Linked DNA regions of Oryctolagus cuniculus. The protein of the gene in region 3 interacts with the protein of the main gene of each other region in a biochemical or structural test. Links are inferred from orthologs where the notes say so. Each region holds a gene or a part of one and is shown on either strand. Other genes may lie near its edges.

Region 1 (6,517 bases), on a different chromosome or scaffold from region 3:
GGAAGACCTCTGTCTCTTTCAAATATAATATTTAAAAAAAAAAAAGTAAAATCTGGGGTGCTGGAGCTGTGGCATAGCAGGTAAAGCCGCCACCTGCAGGGCCGGCATTCTGTATGGGCGCTGGTTCAAGTCCTCGCTGCTCCACTTCCCATCCAGCTCTCTGCTATGGCCTGGGAAAGCAGTAGAAGATGGCCCAAGTCCTCGGGCCCCTGCACCCATGTGGGAGACCTAGAAGAAGCTCCTGGCTCCTGGCTTTGGATCAGCCCAGCTCCAGCTGTTGTGGCCATTTGGGGAGTGAACCAGTGGATGAAGACCTCTCTCTCTCTCCCTGCCTCTGTAACTCTTTCAAATAAATAAATAAACTTAAAAAAAAAGAAAAGAAAAGAAAAGAAAAGAAAAGAAATCCGGGGAAGGCATTGTGGCACAGCAGGTTAAACTGCCACTTGGGACATCACATCCTACATCAGAGCATCAGTTCAGGTCCTGACTGCTCCACTTCCGATCCAGTTTCGTAATAATGTGCCCGAGAGGCAGCAGGTGATGGCCCGGGTACTCGGGTCCCTGCCACCATGTGGAGGCCAGGATGGAGTTCCAAGGTCCTGGCTTTGGCCTGGCCCAGCTCCAGTTGTTGCAAACATTTGGGGAGTGAACCAGCAGATGGAAGACCTCTCTCTCTCTCTCTCTCTCTGCCTCTGCCTGTCACTCTGCCTTTCAAATAAATAAACAAATCTTACCATTTTTAAAAAGGTGAAATTCCAAAGGAGAATTCGTCATCTTTCCCAGATCTGTTCTTCTGCCACTTTGTATTCCAAGCTGGAACCTGTGCATCCCTCAAGCCCATGTCCTACCAGATACAACATTCTACCAGGCCCGCCCCCACCACCCCAGCTCCTCGGCTTATTTTTTAAGGTTTATTTATGTATTTGGAAGGCGGAGTTACAGAGAGACACGGGTAGAGACAGAGATCTTCCATCTGCTGGTTCACTCCCCAAAGGGTTCTAACAGCCAGGGCTGAGCCAGGCTGAAGCCAGGAGCCAGGAACTCCATCTGGGTCTCCCACATGGGTGCAGGGACCCAAGCGCTTTGGCCGCCTTCTGCTGCTTTCCCAGGCGCGGAAGCGGGGAGCTGGATCAGAAGGGGAGCATCAGTGTTAGCCCCATTCCTTCTGCTTAAACAAGGGTCTCGGTCACAGACACCGTCCCCCAGACTCGGCCCCTCCCCCGCACTGCACCCTACTCCTTACTCACGGCTGCAACAGTGCAGCCCCCAAATCCGACCTGACCACAGCACCTCTCTGGACTTGAGGCTGCCCGTGGGGTCTGGTGACCCACAGGGCCTACACTCACCACGCTGCGCTTCTCAGCGCCGTCCCAACAGCTTGGACGCACTCAGGCACTGCAACCCCAGAGCCAACCACGTGGGAACCGAATGTTCTGGGTCTGTGTGGCTGTCAATTACCCCAGCAGCCAGAGGCAGCCAAGGTCTCCTGAGCCTTGCTTCATGCTAGAAAGAGGCCTGAGGTCCAGACCCACACGTGGGTCCCCATGGAGTGGGGAACGGACTCGAGGTGACCCTGTAGGGACTGGCAGGCTACCTCCCTCAGGTTAAAGCTGGGGAATAAAGGAAGCAGCTGTGCACACAGGCCCCCGCTCCCGCCACCACCGCCATCCCAGCAGGCTCAGCTCTCGCTGCCCGCCCCGCCTCTATCCCTGGTAGAAAGCCTCTCTCCAGAGAGAAGCCCACCTCTGCAAGCCCAAGGACACAGGGACTGGCAGGACAGGAGGTCCCCAACCCAGAAGACAGACTCTGGACCCTCCCTCAACTTGCACCCGAGGGGCCCGGGGCCCCACACCAGCCCCATACGCCAGTGCGGCGGACTCACAAGTCATGGAAGCTGCGCAGGGAGGAGGCTGGGGTAAAGACATCCAGGAGCCCAATGACCTGGGGAAGAAGCCATCAGTGAGGCCTGGGCAGGCGCCGCCATGTCCTCCAGTGCCCAAGGGTCCCGGCCACACACAGGACTGCCCCCCCACCCGCCCTTCCTAACATATCACTCCCAGCAGGAGCCAGGCCCCCCAGCCTCGCTGGAAGCAGTAAGGGGATGGAGGTCAAAGAGGAGTGGGCCCCCTACCCCATTTGGGAGGGAGCTTGTACCCTGCGCAGGGAGGGAGGTGGGCAGAGCAGTGAGGCCTGCTCAGTGCATCGCTCCCAAGTCTGCGTTCAGGGAGAGCAGCACAAGCCCGCTCTCTGCTCTAGCCGGAGGGGAGGGGCCTCCAGCCTGCAGGCTCCCTGCCCTTGGCCTTGGGTTCCCCAGCCACATTTGCCCAGGCCTGCCACAGGCTCATTCAGAGCCAGTGACAAGATCACCCCCTGCCTGAGGTCACAGGGGAAGGGTCTGCTGCACAAGGAGGCAGGGGGGAACTTTGGTGGTGACAACGGTTTGAAATCATTATTTGAAATAGTTCTCCTCTAATCTAGACACCCTGGGGCTGTGGATGCTGGGCCCAGAGCTGGGTCCTGGGCTTTGCCTTGCCGTTTCTGCCAAGCAGGGCTGGGCAGCTCCGCTGAAACCCCAGCTCTGCCACTGACTGACCAATTAACCCGGGAAACCTCTGTGACTCAGTTTCCCCCTCTGCGACAAGGTGGCAACAGTACTTATCTCCAGAAAGACCCTGTGGCCCTTCCTGGTCAGTGCGCAGGGCACGACGTGGTATCGGGGAACCTTAATAGCGGGGCGGGAAGCGGGCCCGGTGGGGCAGGGAGGGGTCTTCGGCTGCGCCCCCCCGCGCGCCCTACGTTCTCATGCTGCATGTGTTTGAGCAGCAGCAGCTCGCGGTAGGCCCGCCTGGCGAAGATCTCCGACTGGAAGGGCCGGCTAAGCTTCTTGATGGCCACCTTCTCCCCAGACCGCTTGTCGATGGCGGAGCTGCGGGGGCACAAGGCAGGTCAGCGGGCGGCAGCCTTCCTGCCTGGACGGCGCCCACCCCTGGTCCCCGCACGCGCGCGCTCCTGGGCCACCTGCACCCCCAACCCTACTCGGCTCCTTGGAGGCCAGGCTGGGAGGGACGCTGCCCACTGCCTGCGACGTGGAAGGGCGGAGGGCCAGGAGTGCGGGGAGGAGGCTGGAGCCGAGCGGGGGCCACGGCTCCGAGGGCTGGCTCCTTTCGCCGCCGACGGGACGCGGAGCCTCCCACTGCAACCCGGAAAATCCCTTCCCCTTCCTGGGCCTCCGCGCACTCATCCGTGGCAAAGGGGACCTGCCCAGGAGCTCTGGGGAGCCCACTCAGTCCTGATTCGCCCCGCTGAGACCCCCACACGGCCCTCCCGGCAGAGAAAGGCGGTCCGTGGCTCCGAGCCAGCGCCGCCACCCGGGGCTGCTCTCGCGCCCTCCCTCGGCGCCCTGCTCCACCGGCTCCCCGCGCCGCCAGCTCGGCCGAGGCGGCGCCCCGACGCCTGGCGTCCCCGCGCCCCCCAGTGGCCGCGCGGCCCAGGGGTCTCACCACACGGCGCCGTAGGCCCCGCTGCCGACGTGCGTCGGGGACACGTAGGTCTTGGGCAGCTCCCAGGCGGTCTTGTTGACGTCCTGCTTGTAGAAGCCCCTTCTCCGGGTGAGGCTCATCCCGGGCACCCAGTCGCGGCTGCGGCCCCGGCACGGCGGCTGCGCCCGCGGTCCGGACTGCGCCCGCCCTCCCCCGCACGAGGGCGGGCGTTCGGCAGCGACGCGTCCCACCTGCTGGCTCAGGTGCGCTGGGCGCCGCCACGCCCGGGCCTGCCCGACAGCGCCGCACCCCCATTTGCCGGCCGGCCCCGGAGAGGCCGCCCCGAGCCACCCGCGGCAGGTGCGGGTCCCGGGACGCCGTCCGGGCTGCGGGGCGGGAGTGGGCGGCTCCCAGCCGAGTGCCGGGGTACGGGGAAGGCAGGACTCCCGGCTCCGGAAGAGCCCCCCGGCGTTTTGAAACCCATTCCGGAAAAGAAAACTCCGCAATCTTTTTGTCTCCGAAGTTTTCCCATACGGAAGTAGCCGGCGTAGCCCCGTGCGCCTCACACGTGGACGTGCACACGAATCCCGTCCCCTGGGATTTTACTTTATTGAAACCGGTTCCGATTCAGTAGATCTGGGTCAGAGCCAGGGCTGCGTGTCTGTCCAGCTGTGAGGTCCGAGTCACCTCTGGGGATGTCCGTTGTAGCAACGGATGGTCAACTTTAGGCCCCTGCATTTGTGTTTCGCCATTATTTTGATGCAACGCCTGGGCATCATATTTCATCCACAAATATTGTTACGCTTTAGAGATACAGATTGTTTTTTAAAAAAAAATAAGCATAGCACCATTTTTACACTTAAGAATTAATCACACTAATTCTATAATGCCCAAATAGCCACGCATGTTCAAACGCCCACTCTTGAACTAAAACGTCCAGTTTGTGCCCTTCGAGGACAATGACAAACAGGGACCATCTGCCTCCTGTCTTTGGTGGCTGCTGCGGCCTGAGGAGGCCTAGGAGGCCCCGGGGCGGGGGGGGGGGGGTGGCTGGGAAATGGGCAGGAGCCCTCTGTGTGCCCAGCACATGTGTCCGGTCCCGGTCTGGCGAGGCATGGGGCTGTGGCAGGGGACCATTGCTGCATCTGTCAAGGGAGAGGAGCTGTCTTCAAGGAGGAAAGGAACCGGTTGCTGGCCTTCAGCAAACAGGGGGTCCGCACAAGGGAGCCTGCAGACCCCAGACCCTTGTCACAGCCCTGCCTAGTCCTGCAGCATCAGCCTCAACCTGAAGCACCCTTTCCAGGCAGGGGGAGTGCCAGGGTCCCACTGACGTGCCCAGCTGGTGTTGTGGGCAGGGAATCTGTCTTATTTGTGTCTGACACATAGTAGGACATCCTAAGTGTATAGAGAATAAACAGAAGAGTCAGCCCATTGGAAGCAACAACATATTTCTTTAATAAACATTTGTGTTTGCCATGTGCCAGTCATCACACTAAGTGTTTCACATACACAACTCACTTAATCACCGCAAGAGGCCTGTGAGCCAGTGCCAAGATTATCTTCATCTTAGCCAGGAGGAGCCAGTCCTACCGCCAGGTTAATGGAGCAGCCCACGGGCACTCAGCTGCTAAGGAGCAGAGCTGGGCGGAGACACCGGTGCAGCCTGGTGCTATTTTGTGTCTCCACAGTGAGAGGCACGCGGCTCCTTGAAAACAGTGGCCTATGTTGCAAATCCCCTCTTGTGTCTGTGGATGGAACTAGTTCTCCCTTGGCTCAGCCTGCCCTGAGGAATTTGACATATCCAGCCTGAGACCCCGTGAGAAGGGAAAAGCTGGCATGCCTGGGAAGGAGCCAGGGGTGTTTGGGACCTTTGGGCTTGGTGACACGGGTGGAAGGCACACTGATTCTGAAGCTGGGGTGGGGTCCCACAAGGCAGGTGTAAGGGGTGGGCACTGATAAGACTCTTTGTGGGTTCCCTTCTGGGTTGAGGATTCAGCAAGGAAGGGGGCTGGACACCTGCTGGTATCTCTGACACCTAAGGAAGCAGAGGGGCGCCCCGGCAGGTGAGGAGCGCCAGGGAGGCTGCTCATTGCTTAAGTAGGTGCAATCCTACCAGGCCATGGGCCAGCCGCTGCAGCAGTGGCCCCGACACCTCTTGAGCAAGGGCCAGGAAGTGACTCAGGCCTCAGACTCTGCTGACACCGAGCCCCGCTGGGGCCCAGCCAGGCAGCTCTGGAGGGGAGGGCTTGTTGGATATGGGGTGGGGGTGGGGGCAAGGATGCGGGAGGAGGAGGGAGTCACTGAAGACACCCCCGGGGGCCCAGCACTCCCGGAACCCCCAGCACCCAGGGCTCTCTTCTCTTTATGGTCCAGGACCCCTTTGCTTGTCTCCAGCCTGGACACAGACTCAATGCTGGCTGCTTGGTTTCTGCCCGATTAACACAGAGGCGAGGTTTTAGGAAATCAGTCTGGGGAGGAGACCTGAGTTTCTTTCCCAGCTGTGTCACAATGCTGGCTGTGTGACCTTGGGCAAAGTTCCTTCCCCTCCTTGGAAAATGAAGATGATGTTAAACTAAGACAAGTACAGATCTTGTTCACCCTACAAGGAGGTCCTGTCCCAATAAACCCATCGTGAGTTGGAAACACCACAAGTTGAAAAAGCCTTTAATCCACCCCAGGCTCCCCACATCACAGCTTAGCTACACGGAGCACTGTGGAACCGGCATCTTTCCTCTCGTCTGCTGGGGCTGACAGCGCTGTGGCTGGAGTGCGTCTCACTAGGATGTGCTCCTAGGAGTGCCTAGGATGGATAACCCAGGGAAAGATCCAAATTCCAAACCTGAAGTGTGTTGTTTCTCGAGTGTGGCTCACTTTTGCACTATGGCAAGGTTGAACAATTCTAATTCAAACCCTTGTAAGTAAGGGGTATTTTGTATTCATTTTTTAAAAAGATTTATTTATTTATTTGAAAGTCAGAGTTACACACAGAGAAGGAGAGGCAGAGAGAGAGAGAGAGAGGTCTTCCATCTGCTGGTTCA
Region 2 (6,689 bases), on a different chromosome or scaffold from region 3:
GGCACAGGCAGAGCAGACGCTGCTCCCCACAGGCCTGGCTGGTTCTGCCTCCTCACCCGGCCCTGACGGCTGCAAGAGCTGGGTTTGCAGCTCCCCCGTCCCCACTGCCCACGCGGCTGTGACTTTCACCCCTGCCATCGCCGTCCCCCGGGCTCCCCGGCGGGGCGGCTGTGACTTTCACCCCTGCCATCGCCGTCCCCCGGGCTCCCCGGCGGGCGGCTGTGACTTTCACCCCTGCCATCGCCGTCCCCCGGGCTCCCCGGCGGGGCGGCTGTGACTTTCACCCCTGCCATCGCCGTCCCCCGGGCTCCCCGGCGGGGCGGCTGTGACTTTCACCCCTGCCATCGCTGTCCCCCGGGCTCCCCGGCGGGCGGCTGTGACTTTCACCCCTGCCATCGCCGTCCCCCGGGCTCCCCGGCGGGCGGCTGAGGGCAGGCTGGGCAGGACTTACGTGCTCCGAGGAAATCTTGGCCAGAACCTCAGGGCTGGGCGTACCCACCACCTCCATGATCCGCTTCAGCTGGTCGATGTCTGCCTTGTTCAGGAAATACCCACTGGCCATCCACCGCCCCCAGGCCCAAGAGCCCCATCTTGGGGCCCCACCCAGAGCCTCTGTCTGACAGCTGAGGATCCAAGCCTGAGGTGGCCCGGCCCAGGGCAGAGGAGAGCCAGAGCCCACCCCCACCCTGGAGGAGGGGTCCCCGCAGCGTGACGCTGCAGGCCGCACGGGCAAGGATACAGTCACTTCCCGGGAAGAGAGCCTTCCCCTGCAGCAGCTCGGCCATGATACAGCCCACGGACCAGATATCCACTGTTGGGGGAGGGGCAGGCTATCAGCCTGCCCACCCCAGCCCCTCCTCTGGAGGCTGGGGAGGAGCCGGCCCAGCGGACCCTCAGTCACACCCAGGCCGAACCCTTCCTTCTGTACACCCACGTTGGGTGGGGAGAGCAAGTGGCTCAGACCCCAGCACACACCTGCCCCGGGGACCCTTGGAAAGTCTGTTTTTGAATGCTGGTCCCAGACCCTGCCTGTCCCCCAAGACTGGGCAAGGCTCCCCCAAGGCCCCTCAGCCATGGGCCGACTCCCATCCCCGTGCCCCGGGTGGGGCCCCGGTGCGAGCCCGGTCAGCCGGCCTGGCCGCGTGAGGGCTGACGGCACCTGTCTGGTTGTAGTGCATCCAGTTCAGCATGATCTCTGGGGCTCGGTACCAGCGTGTGGCCACGTAGCCGGTCATCTCCTCGTCAGCCTGGCGGGCCAGTCCGAAGTCTAGGATCTGGGGGGACCGAGAGGTGCTCAGGGCCCCTCCTCGCCCCACAGCCCACCCGGCCCAGTCCCGCCAGTCGCTCACCCTGAGCTCGCAGTCTTCATTCACCGCCACGTTGCTGGGTTTCAGGTCCTGCGTGGGCGGGCAGAGGCCTGAGCGCAGGGATAGCGCCCGCCTGAGCCCACCCGCCGCCCGTCGCCCACGCTGCACCTACCCGGTGGATGATCCCTGCAGAGTGGATGTACTGCGGGGAGGGAGGTGGTGAGCATTGGCCATGTGCCCAGGGACCCCCACCTCCAGCCCAGGCCCTAAGACCCCGCCTGCAGCCCAGGCCCTAAGACCCCCACCTCCAGTCCAGGCCCTAAGACCCCGCCTACAGCCCAGGCCCTAAGACCCCCACCTCCAGTCCAGGCCCTAAGACCCTGCCTGCAGCCCAGGCCCTAAGACCCCCACCTCCAGCCCAGGCCCTAAGACCCCGCCTGCAGCCCAGGCCCTAAGACCCCCACCTCCAGTCCAGGCCCTAAGACCCCACCTCCAGCCCAGGCCCTAAGACCCCGCCTGCAGCCCAGGCCCTAAGACCACCACCTCCAGCCCAGGCCCTAAGACCCCCACCTCCAGTCCAGGCCCTAAGACCCCACCTCCAGCCCAGGCCCTAAGACCCCGCCTGCAGCCCAGGCCCTAAGACCACCACCTCCAGCCCAGGCCCTAAGACCCCACCTCCAGCCCAGGCCCTAAGACCCCACCTCTAGCCCACGCCCAGAGACCCCCACCTTCAGCCCACGCAGCAGCTGGTATACCAGGAACTGGACGTGTTCGTCACTCAGCGCCTGGCACTTGACGATGTTGTTCAGGTCTGCGCCCATCAGGGTGGTCACCAAGTACCTGGGGCAAGGTAGGGGGTCAGGGGTCAGGCCGGAGCCCCACTGCCGTGGGCCGAAGGTGCTCCTCTAGCCGCCAGGCACTCACACTTCACTGAAGTCCTCGATGGACGTGGCTGGCGTGAAGACGTCCAGAAGCCCGATGACCTGGGAGGCAGGAAAGCAGCTGGGCAGCATGCGGTGGGCAGGGCTCGGCCCCAGGCCAGAGCCCTCCTCCTGCCAGCCCTCCCTCCCATTGGCCCAGGGCCCGGGGCCCTCCTCCCGCCGGCCCTCCCCCCCACCGGGCTTCCCCACCCCCCCCGCCCTCCCCCCCCCGCCGGCCCTCCCCACCCCCCCCGCCCTCCCCCCCACCCTCCCTCCCACCGGTCCTTCCCCCCACCCTCCCTCCCGCCGGCCCTCCCTCCCGCCGGCCAGCACCCGCTCACGTTCTCATGCTTGAGGTGCTTGAGCAGCCGCAGCTCCCGGTACGTCCTGCGGGCGTGGATCAGCGACTGGAAGGGCCGCGAGAGCTTCTTCACCGCCACCTTCTGCCGCAGCCGGGCGTCGTAGGCTGAGCTGGAAGGCGGGCGAGTGAGGCAGCCTCCCCAGCTCCGCGCCCAACCCCTCCTCGCCCGAGATCCAGAGGAGCCCCTGAGGCTGGGCCCCGGCTCGGGGAGAGGCCTGGGTACTCCCAGGGCAGAGGGTGCCCCCTACCCCGGGACTGGGCAGGTCCAGAAGTGTGTGCTGCATCACTGGCAACCGGAAGTGGACACTGGGAATGCCCAGCGAGGCCGGCCTTGCCCAGCCCCACGCCCCTCCCCTCGGCAGCAGCCCCTCGCCTGGCGGCAGGTGCAGCAGTCTCGGTCACGATCAGGGCTCAGCTGGGAGCAGGTCTGGAGCCCTTTGCACAGCCGGCTCTCTGGCCAATGCGCCCGCCCACGCACCCCTTCCCTTCCCCTCAGAACCCGCCCCGCAGTGAGCCCAGACTTGACTGCCCCCGGTGTGGGACGCTCATGGGTGCCAGTGGCAGAGAAAAATTCACCAGGCCCCCAGTGCCCCCATCACCAGGTTGTGACCCACAGGGGCAAATCCAAGTCACTGCTGGAGAGGAGGTGGCAGATCCTTTGGCCCAACTGCATCTGTGTGGTTAGCTGAGCAACAGGGAATGGGCACCCGCGCAGTCACCTCCTTGGCAGTGGAACTCAGCAAACATGGAGGGTTGGGGTGCAGCCCAGAAAAGCCCAGGTCCCCCTGTGGGGACTTGACACCCCCGGAACTCCCAGATGTGCAGACCCAGCCATGAGTCCACCTGGGTTCCTGCCACAATATCCTCTGGTCACTCACACACGCCGGAAGACGGTGCCCCGGTGCTGGAGTGGCCGAGGTGACCGCCTCAGGCTGCGGGGACAGGCAAAGATCCGCCCAGGTGCGGGCAGCCACGCCCGCCCACCAGTCCCCAGCCTCTCCGGCCCCACTGGGACCCAGCAGCGGCCAGTGACGACCTCGTCGGGTGCCATGGGGGCACCTGGCAGCGTCCACACCTGTGAGCAGCCTGTCTACACAACGCTGGTCTGTCACCGCCCTGTCCGGCTTTCCTGTCCTGGAGCGAAGGCCGCGGCCCAATCGGCACCCCCGCCCCCCACAAGCCGCCGTGGTCTGTTTGGGTTCAGGCTCTGGAACCTGCGCTCTGGGGATCGGGCGTCAGGTCCCCCGCTCAGGATGGAGTCCGAGACTCCTGGGAAAACGAGGAGTGGGCAGGACCCGCAAGGGGCTCCGAGGCCACGCTGCGAGCCTCCGTTTTCAAACAATGGCGCGGGGCGGGGGCGGGGTATCCGCCGGACCCTGAGCCGCGCGACCCCTAACCCAGGAACTGCGAGGGGAGCGCAGACGCCGAGGGCCCCGGGGCGCCCGGCCTCCGCCGGCCGCGCCATCCCGGGACTGGGCGCGGCAGGAAGACGACCCCCGCCCCGCTGGGGGCGGCGTGCGGCGGGCACGCTTCTCGCACGCCCTCACCCCGACGCATCGCCGCGGCCCGCGCAGGGCCCGGGGGCGGGGGCAGGCCGAGGCCCCTCCCCACGCCCGCAGCCCCGAGCGCGCCCCGCGCCCCGCCCCTACCAGACCGAGCCGTAGGCGCCGGAGCCCACCGGGCGCAGCCCCTGCAGCCTCTGCGGCACCTCCCACACCGTCTTGTTCAGCTCCTGCCGGTAGAAGCCGGCGCGGGGCCCCGACATGTCCGGAGCCGGAGCCGCGCGCAGCTGAGGGCGGCGGGGCGCGGGGCGGGGCGCTGGGCGGGGCGCGCGCGGGGCTCCTGGCTGGGGCGGGGGCGCCCGGAGCCGAGCGGAAACCGGGGCGGCGGCGGGATCCGGGCCCGGAGCTCGGGAAGCGCTTCCTCTCGGGACGGAAGGGGGTTGAGGGCCGGGCCTTTGTGGCGCCGGACCACCTGCTGGGGTCTCCCGCGGGCGCGGCCGGTCAGCACCAGGGACAGCGGCGACCCGGGGGGCCTCTGGGGCCAGGGCTCGGGAAGAAGCGGCCCCAGATGAGTCCCCTCGGGTCCCTCGTACTTTTTGCCTCTTCGGGAAGCCCACCCGAACTTCCCCAGACCCTGGGAGCCGCCCCTACCGCCCTGCGCGGCGGTCCCGTGGCCGGCGTCCTCCCGTTAAGCCCCGGCCTCGCGGGCAGTCGCCGCAGGCACGGACAGACGCTGGGTCGGGGGCTTTGGGCGGGACGCCCCCTCCCGGGATGGGAGGAACTTGGGCTCCAGTCGCCCCCTCTTTTTCAAGACGAACCCAGCGGCGCGCGCCGGTGAAGCTGGGGTGCTTGGGACCAGCGTGAAACGCGGAGCGAGCTCCCTGGACCCGCAGCTTCATGCAGACTTCATGGGTCTTGGGACCCTGGCCGGGGTCCAGGGCCTGTCCTGCTGGGGCCCCTAAGGGGTTCGGAGACCCGGGCGGGGAGGGGGACTCAGTGGATGCTTCCCCACCGCCACACGAATCGCTGGTGAGGGTCTGGAACAAGCAGGATGCAGTCTTGGCTCCATTCTCTGGACATGGACAGGTCAGCAGCATTGCTCGTGGCTCCTTCCCATCCTCACCTCTCCCTCCCCCTGCTCACTGGAAATTGGACAGTGACCGGAAGGGCTGGTCACCGCTGGGGCTGAAGGGCATTCTGGCCACCTGGACAAGCCAACATTCACCCCTCGCTGGCACCAGCCAGGCTCCTGGGTCCTGTCACTCCCATCCCTAAGGGGAGGGGTGAGGGTGGAGACCACCTGGGCGTGGATGGCAGGACCTACAGCCTTCCCCTCCCCCTGAGTGTCCCTTGCGTGTGTAGGGGTGTCCTCACAGATGAGCCCCTTCTTTCCTGACTGCCCCGGGGGACAGCAGCAGCAGACCCCTGGAAGCCAGGCCTCCAGGTTCCTGTTTCCCTACAGCCAGTGTTGGGGAGGGGCCCGAGTCACCCCCTTCCAGGAGGGGTTCACAGTCCCCTGACCCCGGCTCCTGGGCTCCCCAGCCGTAAGGGGAGGCCCCAGCGGCGAGACCAGGCCGGAGACCATTCAGACAACGCACACAGGGACAGCGAGTGTCCAGGCCGCTCTGCTTCTTCCTGGGCTCAGCCTGCTTGGGGTTCACAGGAAGCTCCGTGGGGGCAGGGCCCCTCCGTCCCATTGGCTGCAGGCCCAAACTACGTCTTCATCTTGTGGCCCCGCCCCAGGTCCTCGGGGTTACCTACCCCCACCCAGACCCCCACCAGGCAGGAGCAGAGGAGTCCGTCGCCCTCAGAGGTGCAAAGGGTGGTCCTGGGCGAGTCATCCTGGGTAGCTCGTGGGACAAAGCTGACCTCACAGCCCCAAGGCCTTGAGACTCTGGCCCTCTGTCCAGTGGGGCCGGCACACAGCGCGAGGCTTACCAGGCATCTCTCTCGCTCGCTGCTGCCTCATGCCTGCCCGGGGAAGGGAGGGGGACGCTGAGGGCGCCAGATGGGGGCGCTAGAGCCAGTCTCTTTCCAGCACCCAGCCAGGCTGGCCTGGTCCCACCTGGCCCACACAGGGGCCCACCTCAGATCCAGCAGTGTCCAGGGAAGGGGAACAGGTGGGTGGGGACAGACCAGCAGCCCCTGGAGCCCAACCAGCCAGCAGAGTGAAAAAGACAGCTGTATTTGATTTACAATGAACAAGATTTACAAAAAAGGGATGGGTGGTCCTGGTGGAGCTGCTCCCAGCCCCCCAGACCCAGGTGGGGCCTCCAGGGCAGCCTGTCTGACAGGTCGGCTGGGCTCCTCCTGGCTGCCTGGCCCCGACGTCTGACGTCCAGCGTGACCTTTGAGGTGGGGCCCGGCAAACGTGGGTGCCCCCTGGGGAGGCAGGGTGAGGTCAGGAAGGCGTCGTACCGCTTGTCCTCCGTGTCTCCTCCTGCTGTCCGTGGACAGTGGGCAGACACGTCTGGGCACTCGCCCCGGGGCTGCAGGGACTCGGATCCCACCCAGAGGCCAGGCCCTGGGCATCTGAGGCGGCTGCTGGTGCGAGGGGAGGCGGAGGCCCGACTGCCCCAGGGGCCCGGCGCGGCGTAAG
Region 3 (6,028 bases):
TTACTGACTGAGCTTCTGCCCCTGCCCCTGGCATCCTGTATGAGTGATAGTTCTGGTCCCTGCTACTCCGCTTCCTATTTAGCTTCCTTTAATGCACCTGGGAGGGTAGGAGAAGATGGATGGCCCAAGTGCTTGAGTCCCTGGCTTCTATGTAGGAGACTGGGATAGTGTTCCTGACTCCTGGTTTCAGCCTGTCTCAGTCCTGGATGGTGTGGCCATTTGGGGAATGAACCAGCAAATGGAAGATCATTCCCTGTCTCTCCCTGTCACTCTACCTTGCAAATAAATAAATCTTTTAAAAATAATAGTTTTATTTTCTTAGAACTGTGATAGAAAAGGCACTCAGACTTTAAGTTAAACATTTTATTTTAAAGTGGACTGCTTTATTTTTGGTTGCTATTCCTTTATTGGATTATAACAGAAATTTTAAGAAATTTTTCATTTAGTAATATGGTAAGTAAGCTTAAGTCTAGGTAAATAGAGTACTTAAAATCATTGTACCATGGAGTATCTATTTCTACTATTATATGACAAAAACTTAATAGTGGTCTGTTTTTAATTTTAATTTTAATTTTTTTCATTTTTAACAGGTTCAATATAATTCAGAAATACAATTCTAAGAATATAATGATATTCTTTCTCTCTCCCTCCTCTCACTCCTTTTCCCTTTCTCTCCTTTTCTCTTCACTTTTGAGATAATGTATATTTAATTTACATTACAATCAAGGGCTTAATGCTAGTGGTGTGTTTTTAGTATCCAAATTAAATTTACATAGTTTCTTTGCCTAAGATTTTATTTTTAAATCAGTTATGTGACCTAATCATATTGTGTATTCTTGGGTAATGGGTTTCTCTATGATTATTTGAAGTCTGGTATGTTTATACTAACAATAATAAATTCTTTTATAGTTTAAAAACTGCTATTTCACTGTTAATGGTGGTTTTACATGTTGTGGAAATGAATTTCCTTATCATTTTAATTATTTGATCAAATTGAAAATCTTAACTGTATCTTAAAATTTTTGCCACAGCGTTTTACCAACGAGGATCATTTGGCTGTCCATAAACATAAACATGAGATGACACTGAAATTTGGTCCAGCACGTAATGACAGTGTCATTGTGGCTGGTTAGTATATGCTTTTATTAATAGCTTATATACATATTTCACCTGGAATGTGCACAATTTTTGTGTATTCTCTGTAAATAATATAATCTGGTGATATTCCAATGACTTCATTTACAATAAATGTTGGCAACATGTATTTTACCCATTACATTTCCATGTTTCCTTCTGACCATTCATTTCACATTTTGTGTGATTTTCAAGTAGAGATTTCAATGTCAGTTTCATGGAAGTTAATTAGAACTCTGGGAACATCATTCATACCATTTACAAAATTTACGTTTTTCTTACAATTGAACTAATATATTTAGTCAACGTTTCTTTTAGCTGTCTTGGCACCTGATTTACAAGGCTGTGTGAAGACAGAAAAGGATGAAGCTCCTCCTGTTGGAGAGCAAGACCTAGCAAATTTCCGGATTAGAATTTTTTTTTTTTCCAAACAAAACATTTGTCTTAGTAAAATACTCGTAAGGGGTCCTGAATTCATTAGGTGCTTTTTTTCGTGTGTGTTGACCCTACATACATACAGTATTATGTAAGCAATTATTTTTCATATTATGTGAAAAGAGAAACCCAATTCATGCATTGATTTATTCATTTCATGCTATATTAGCTAGTTATTTCAGTATATATACACACACACATCTGTGTATATACAAAATATGAATAATTTTACTATATGTATTTTATAAGGATTATGATATAAAACATTTAATATAAATTTTAGACACTTTTCTATCACAGTCACATAAATTTGCATTTCAGATACTCAAATTAACTCTAGATTCTTCTTTCTTGCACACCTTAGGTTATACTATTTGTAAGTCTGGAATTATGTCCGAAAACTTAGTAATATTAGTACTTTTAAACAACTAGTATATACATCAAATTATCATATGCAATGTTTTGCATAGGTAACACAGCAAATATTGGTTGATTTTCCTGTACTTTCAGTATCAAAAGGTTGTAATGAAATGGGGAATAACAAAAAGTAGTCAATCTATCAGAGATAATTTATGTAGGAAAGATATAGGGAATTTCAGTAGGTCTTCAGTTCCATAAATGAAAGGAAGTGTAGAAGAATGAATAATGCATTTCTTTAGTCTTCTGTGCATCAGATAATAAGACCTAGAACAACAAAAAAAAAAAATAAAAACAAGCTGAAAAGTTCACTTTCCTAGGCATGAAGATCTTTGTTTCTGTGAAACTTAATGTCTTAAAGCAATCTCTCTAATATTTTAACTCAAAAAGTGTTTTGAAGTTGGTTTCTAGAAATTATTTTCCTGTTTGTATTTAATGGAATAGAAAAATACAACACGTTCAAACACAGCATTTGACCATTTTTTTACTGACATGTTGAACAGTTTATATTGCTTTGTAACACATGATGTGTGTGGTATATATCTGATGATCAGTAGCCATATGCAATCTGCATGTTACACAGTTGTGTCTATGTTGGCTTTACTTAAGTCTAACAGTCCCAGTAGTCATTAATGAAAGTGATCTATGCTTATGCATTTCAAGACTTTTCTCTCCCTGAGTTGTGAGCTTTCTAAAGAGCTTAGATAGGCAAACCTTTTGGGTATGAGAAGAGTTAAATTTATGTTTGACTTATTAATTCAGTCATGAGGGACTTAAGCTGATACATGTACATGAAGCCTTCAATGTAGCATGATTTTGGAGATAAGAGTAGGGTATAGGTTAAAGATTATACTGATAGGCAGTAATTTGATATGATTAATAGTGACCAAGATAGGCCTGCAGTATGTCTAATGTGTATGACAAATGGGTTATTTTGATGTTGAATATATTTATGTGTAGAAAAAATATTAATACACTTTGTGTATGTTAGGGGGAAAGGTAAAATAGTAATTACCATTGTGAAACACAATAGTTAATAAATATTTGAATTTAATTTCATAAAAGAGCTCTTAATAGATTACTTTTATTTAGCTTAGGTGAAATCCTTAAAATAACTTATAAAATTCATGCCCTAAAGTAGATAAAATACTAACAAAGTTTGAATATGCTACCAATTATAATCAACATAAATAAACAGCATTGGGGACAATACAACTAAATGAGCAAAATTTACTATCTTTCATTCAACCTAGACTTTAACTGACATTTGTTCTGTAGATATATATATATATATATATGTAAACAACATAAGCTGCAAATTTAAGTATAGCTAAAATATTTGAAGTTGTAAAAAAAGTAGTTATTTTATTTGCCTAGAAATTAAGCTAGAACGTTAAGACCAAGCTTATAAAATATGCTAAAGTTGAACAATCAGCTTTAGTAGATAGTAATAAGGAGTTTGTTTTGTTTTCAGGACTTTTCACTTTCTTTTTCTTCTTTGTGGTATTTTAATCTACCTACTAAAGATACTGTTTTAATTTAAGCTTGCTTTCAAAATACATTATGAACAGCTAGTGGAAGTGCCAAGTTAAAATAAATATACATGCTCTTATCCTAGTTTTACCCAAAATGCATGTATTGAGATTATAATAATTTTTAGTAATGTAAGTTTTTTTTAAAAGTTCTTATCACTGTGTTAGATAATGATAATAGTTTATCTCTTGCGTAGAAGATGTTCATGCCACTCAAGGGAGAGTGAAGGGGTGGACAAAGGAGCAAAAGACTTCTTTCATCCTTTATGGTTCCCAAAGTTGGAGGAAATACCTGGAAGTGCAACAGAAACTTAACCAGATTTTGTTTGCTTTAAAGGAAGAGGTCTTTCCAAAGAGAGAATTAACAACTGTGACTGAACCAGTCCTTCTAATTTGTTAACTTATTGCTATATTTTAGAATCTTAATATGGTATACAATATTTAAGTCTGTGTGATTACTTCTTGACTTTATTTCAGATCAGACCCCAACTCCAACAAGATTCTTGAAAAACTGTGAAGAAGTGGGTTTGTTTAATGAGTTGGCAAGTCCATTTGAGAATGAATTCAAGAAAGCTTCAGAAGACGACATTAAAAAAGTACGTTGTTAATCGTAAAATTAAGAGAAGAGTACTTTTGATAGAAAAAATATTGCTAGCTTATACTTCATACTTTCTAATGGCCTACATTTGAACTTGTGACATTTTCTTTATTTATTGTTTACATTTTAGATGCCTCTAGATTTATCCCCTCTTGCAACACCCATCATAAGAAGTAAAATTGAGGAGCCTTCTGTTGTAGAAACAACTCACCAGGATAGTCCTTTACCTCACCCAGAGTCTACTACCAGTGATGAAAAGGTTAGAATGTTATATTTGTGATAGCATATAAGCTAAGGAGGAAAAAGTTGGTACCCCAAGTAAAGTTTAATTTTTAATGTGTAAAAGCCTCTGACTAGCCAAATATTTCAGGGAAAGAAGATTCCTTCTTTATTCAGGGCTGGGGAGCATTTTTTTCTGCCAAGGTCCATTTGGCTATTATAACATCATTTGTGGGCCATATAAAATTATCAACTTAAAAATCAGCCTGCTGTAGATTTATTGAATTTTGAGTACCACCTGTGGTTGCCTTGGCAGGGCCAGACCAAATGATTTCACAGGTCTTGTATGGCCCACAGACTGTATGTTTCCCACCCCATTAATACATAATCAACTTAAACACAGAGAAATTATAGGGGAGAATAAGAGTCATTTTAGATAAAACTTACTTTAAGAGGGAAATGTAAATTTACCATTTAATGTGGTTTTTCTGTATTTTGTTGGTTAGTTACCTTTAGATGAGGGCACTTCAGTAAGTTTATGGAAAAAAGTTTATTTTGGTGAAAAAGAACTTTCAAATCCATGCATAGTTTTTTCATAGCATACATTTTCATGAATTTTTTTCTGGTATCCATGGTATCCCAAGAATTTCAGATCAGCAGCTTAATTAAGAAATCTGTACAACTAGTAACTTGTATGAGCAATGATTATTTAGGCTTTCAAAGGATAAAGAACTAGTTATTCTCAGCAGTGGATCTTGGTTAGCAGCAACCATGATGATGATAGCATCTGGAATACCCTGGTAATAACTTGGACCCCCCTGGCCTATGCTTGTGCTACTACTTGATTACTTGTTTGTTCATAAGCACATAGAATGAACACTTACTTATTTGGGAGCACCATGTGGTGCACAGAGGAAGAGATGATGTGACATAAAAAAGAGAATGGCAATATTCTCTTTTACATTATGTTATTCGAAAACTGTAATTTATTGGACCTTACCTACTATATCAGAAGTTACCAATTAGGAAATATAGTCATATGTCAGAGAACAAAATGGACATGTTTTGAGAAATGCATCAGTTGGTAACTTTGTTAGTGTGTGAATATCACAGAGTATACCTGCAGAAGCCTACACGTATAGGCTATGTGGTGGTTTAGCCTACACATATAAGGTATGTAGTACAGCCTGTTGCTTCTAGGATAAAACCCAGATGTATTATAACTAATAGTATAGGCGGTTGTAACACAATGGCAAGTTTTTGTGTATCTAAACATGGAAATGGTACAGTAAAATATGATATAAAAGATTTTTGAAGTGGTACACCTGTTTAGGACACTTACTGTGAGTGGAGTTTGTGGGACTGGAAGTTGCCCTGGTGAGTCAGTGAGTGGTGAGTGAATGTGAAAGCATAGGACATTGCTGTACACTACTGTGTATACTTATGCTACACTAAACTTACAGTTTAAAATCATTTTTGGGGGCCAGCATTGTGGCATAGCAGGTAAAGCTGCTGCCTACAACGCTGGCATCACAAATGGGCACTAGTTCGAGCAGCACTAGGGCTGCTCCACTTCTGATCCAGCTCCCTGCTAATGCACCTGGTAAAACAACAGAACATACCCTAAGACTTGGGCCCCTGCCACCCACGTGGGAGACCAGATACAGCTCCTGTATCCTGGCTTTGGTCTGGC

What was found.
Region 1: of the proteins of ATF2 (region 3) and MAPK13, one has a biochemical effect on the other in vitro, tested with the Homo sapiens proteins (2 studies listed by BioGRID and IntAct). The link is inferred for Oryctolagus cuniculus from reciprocal best matches to the Homo sapiens genes ATF2 and MAPK13.
Region 2: of the proteins of ATF2 (region 3) and MAPK11, one has a biochemical effect on the other in vitro, tested with the Homo sapiens proteins (4 studies listed by BioGRID and IntAct). The link is inferred for Oryctolagus cuniculus from reciprocal best matches to the Homo sapiens genes ATF2 and MAPK11.

What each region holds. Positions count from the first base shown.
Region 1 is NC_091436.1:133,373,585-133,380,101, forward strand, and holds the start of MAPK13 (mitogen-activated protein kinase 13), read right to left. Parts: upstream 3,719-6,517; 5' UTR 3,620-3,718; coding exon 3,501-3,619; intron 2,927-3,500; coding exon 2,797-2,926; intron 1,942-2,796; coding exon 1,883-1,941; intron 1-1,882. UniProt on the Homo sapiens protein: Serine/threonine kinase which acts as an essential component of the MAP kinase signal transduction pathway.
Region 2 is NC_091442.1:123,216,070-123,222,758, forward strand, and holds the start of MAPK11 (mitogen-activated protein kinase 11), read right to left. Parts: upstream 4,421-6,689; 5' UTR 4,354-4,420; coding exon 4,238-4,353; intron 2,699-4,237; coding exon 2,569-2,698; intron 2,291-2,568; coding exon 2,232-2,290; intron 2,148-2,231; coding exon 2,036-2,147; intron 1,510-2,035; coding exon 1,480-1,509; intron 1,398-1,479; coding exon 1,350-1,397; intron 1,275-1,349; coding exon 1,160-1,274; intron 812-1,159; coding exon 740-811; intron 532-739; coding exon 452-531; intron 1-451. UniProt on the Homo sapiens protein: Serine/threonine kinase which acts as an essential component of the MAP kinase signal transduction pathway.
Region 3 is NC_091434.1:66,025,080-66,031,107, forward strand, and holds part of ATF2 (cyclic AMP-dependent transcription factor ATF-2), read left to right. Parts: intron 1-1,031; coding exon 1,032-1,128; intron 1,129-3,995; coding exon 3,996-4,114; intron 4,115-4,246; coding exon 4,247-4,375; intron 4,376-6,028. UniProt on the Homo sapiens protein: Transcriptional activator which regulates the transcription of various genes, including those involved in anti-apoptosis, cell growth, and DNA damage response.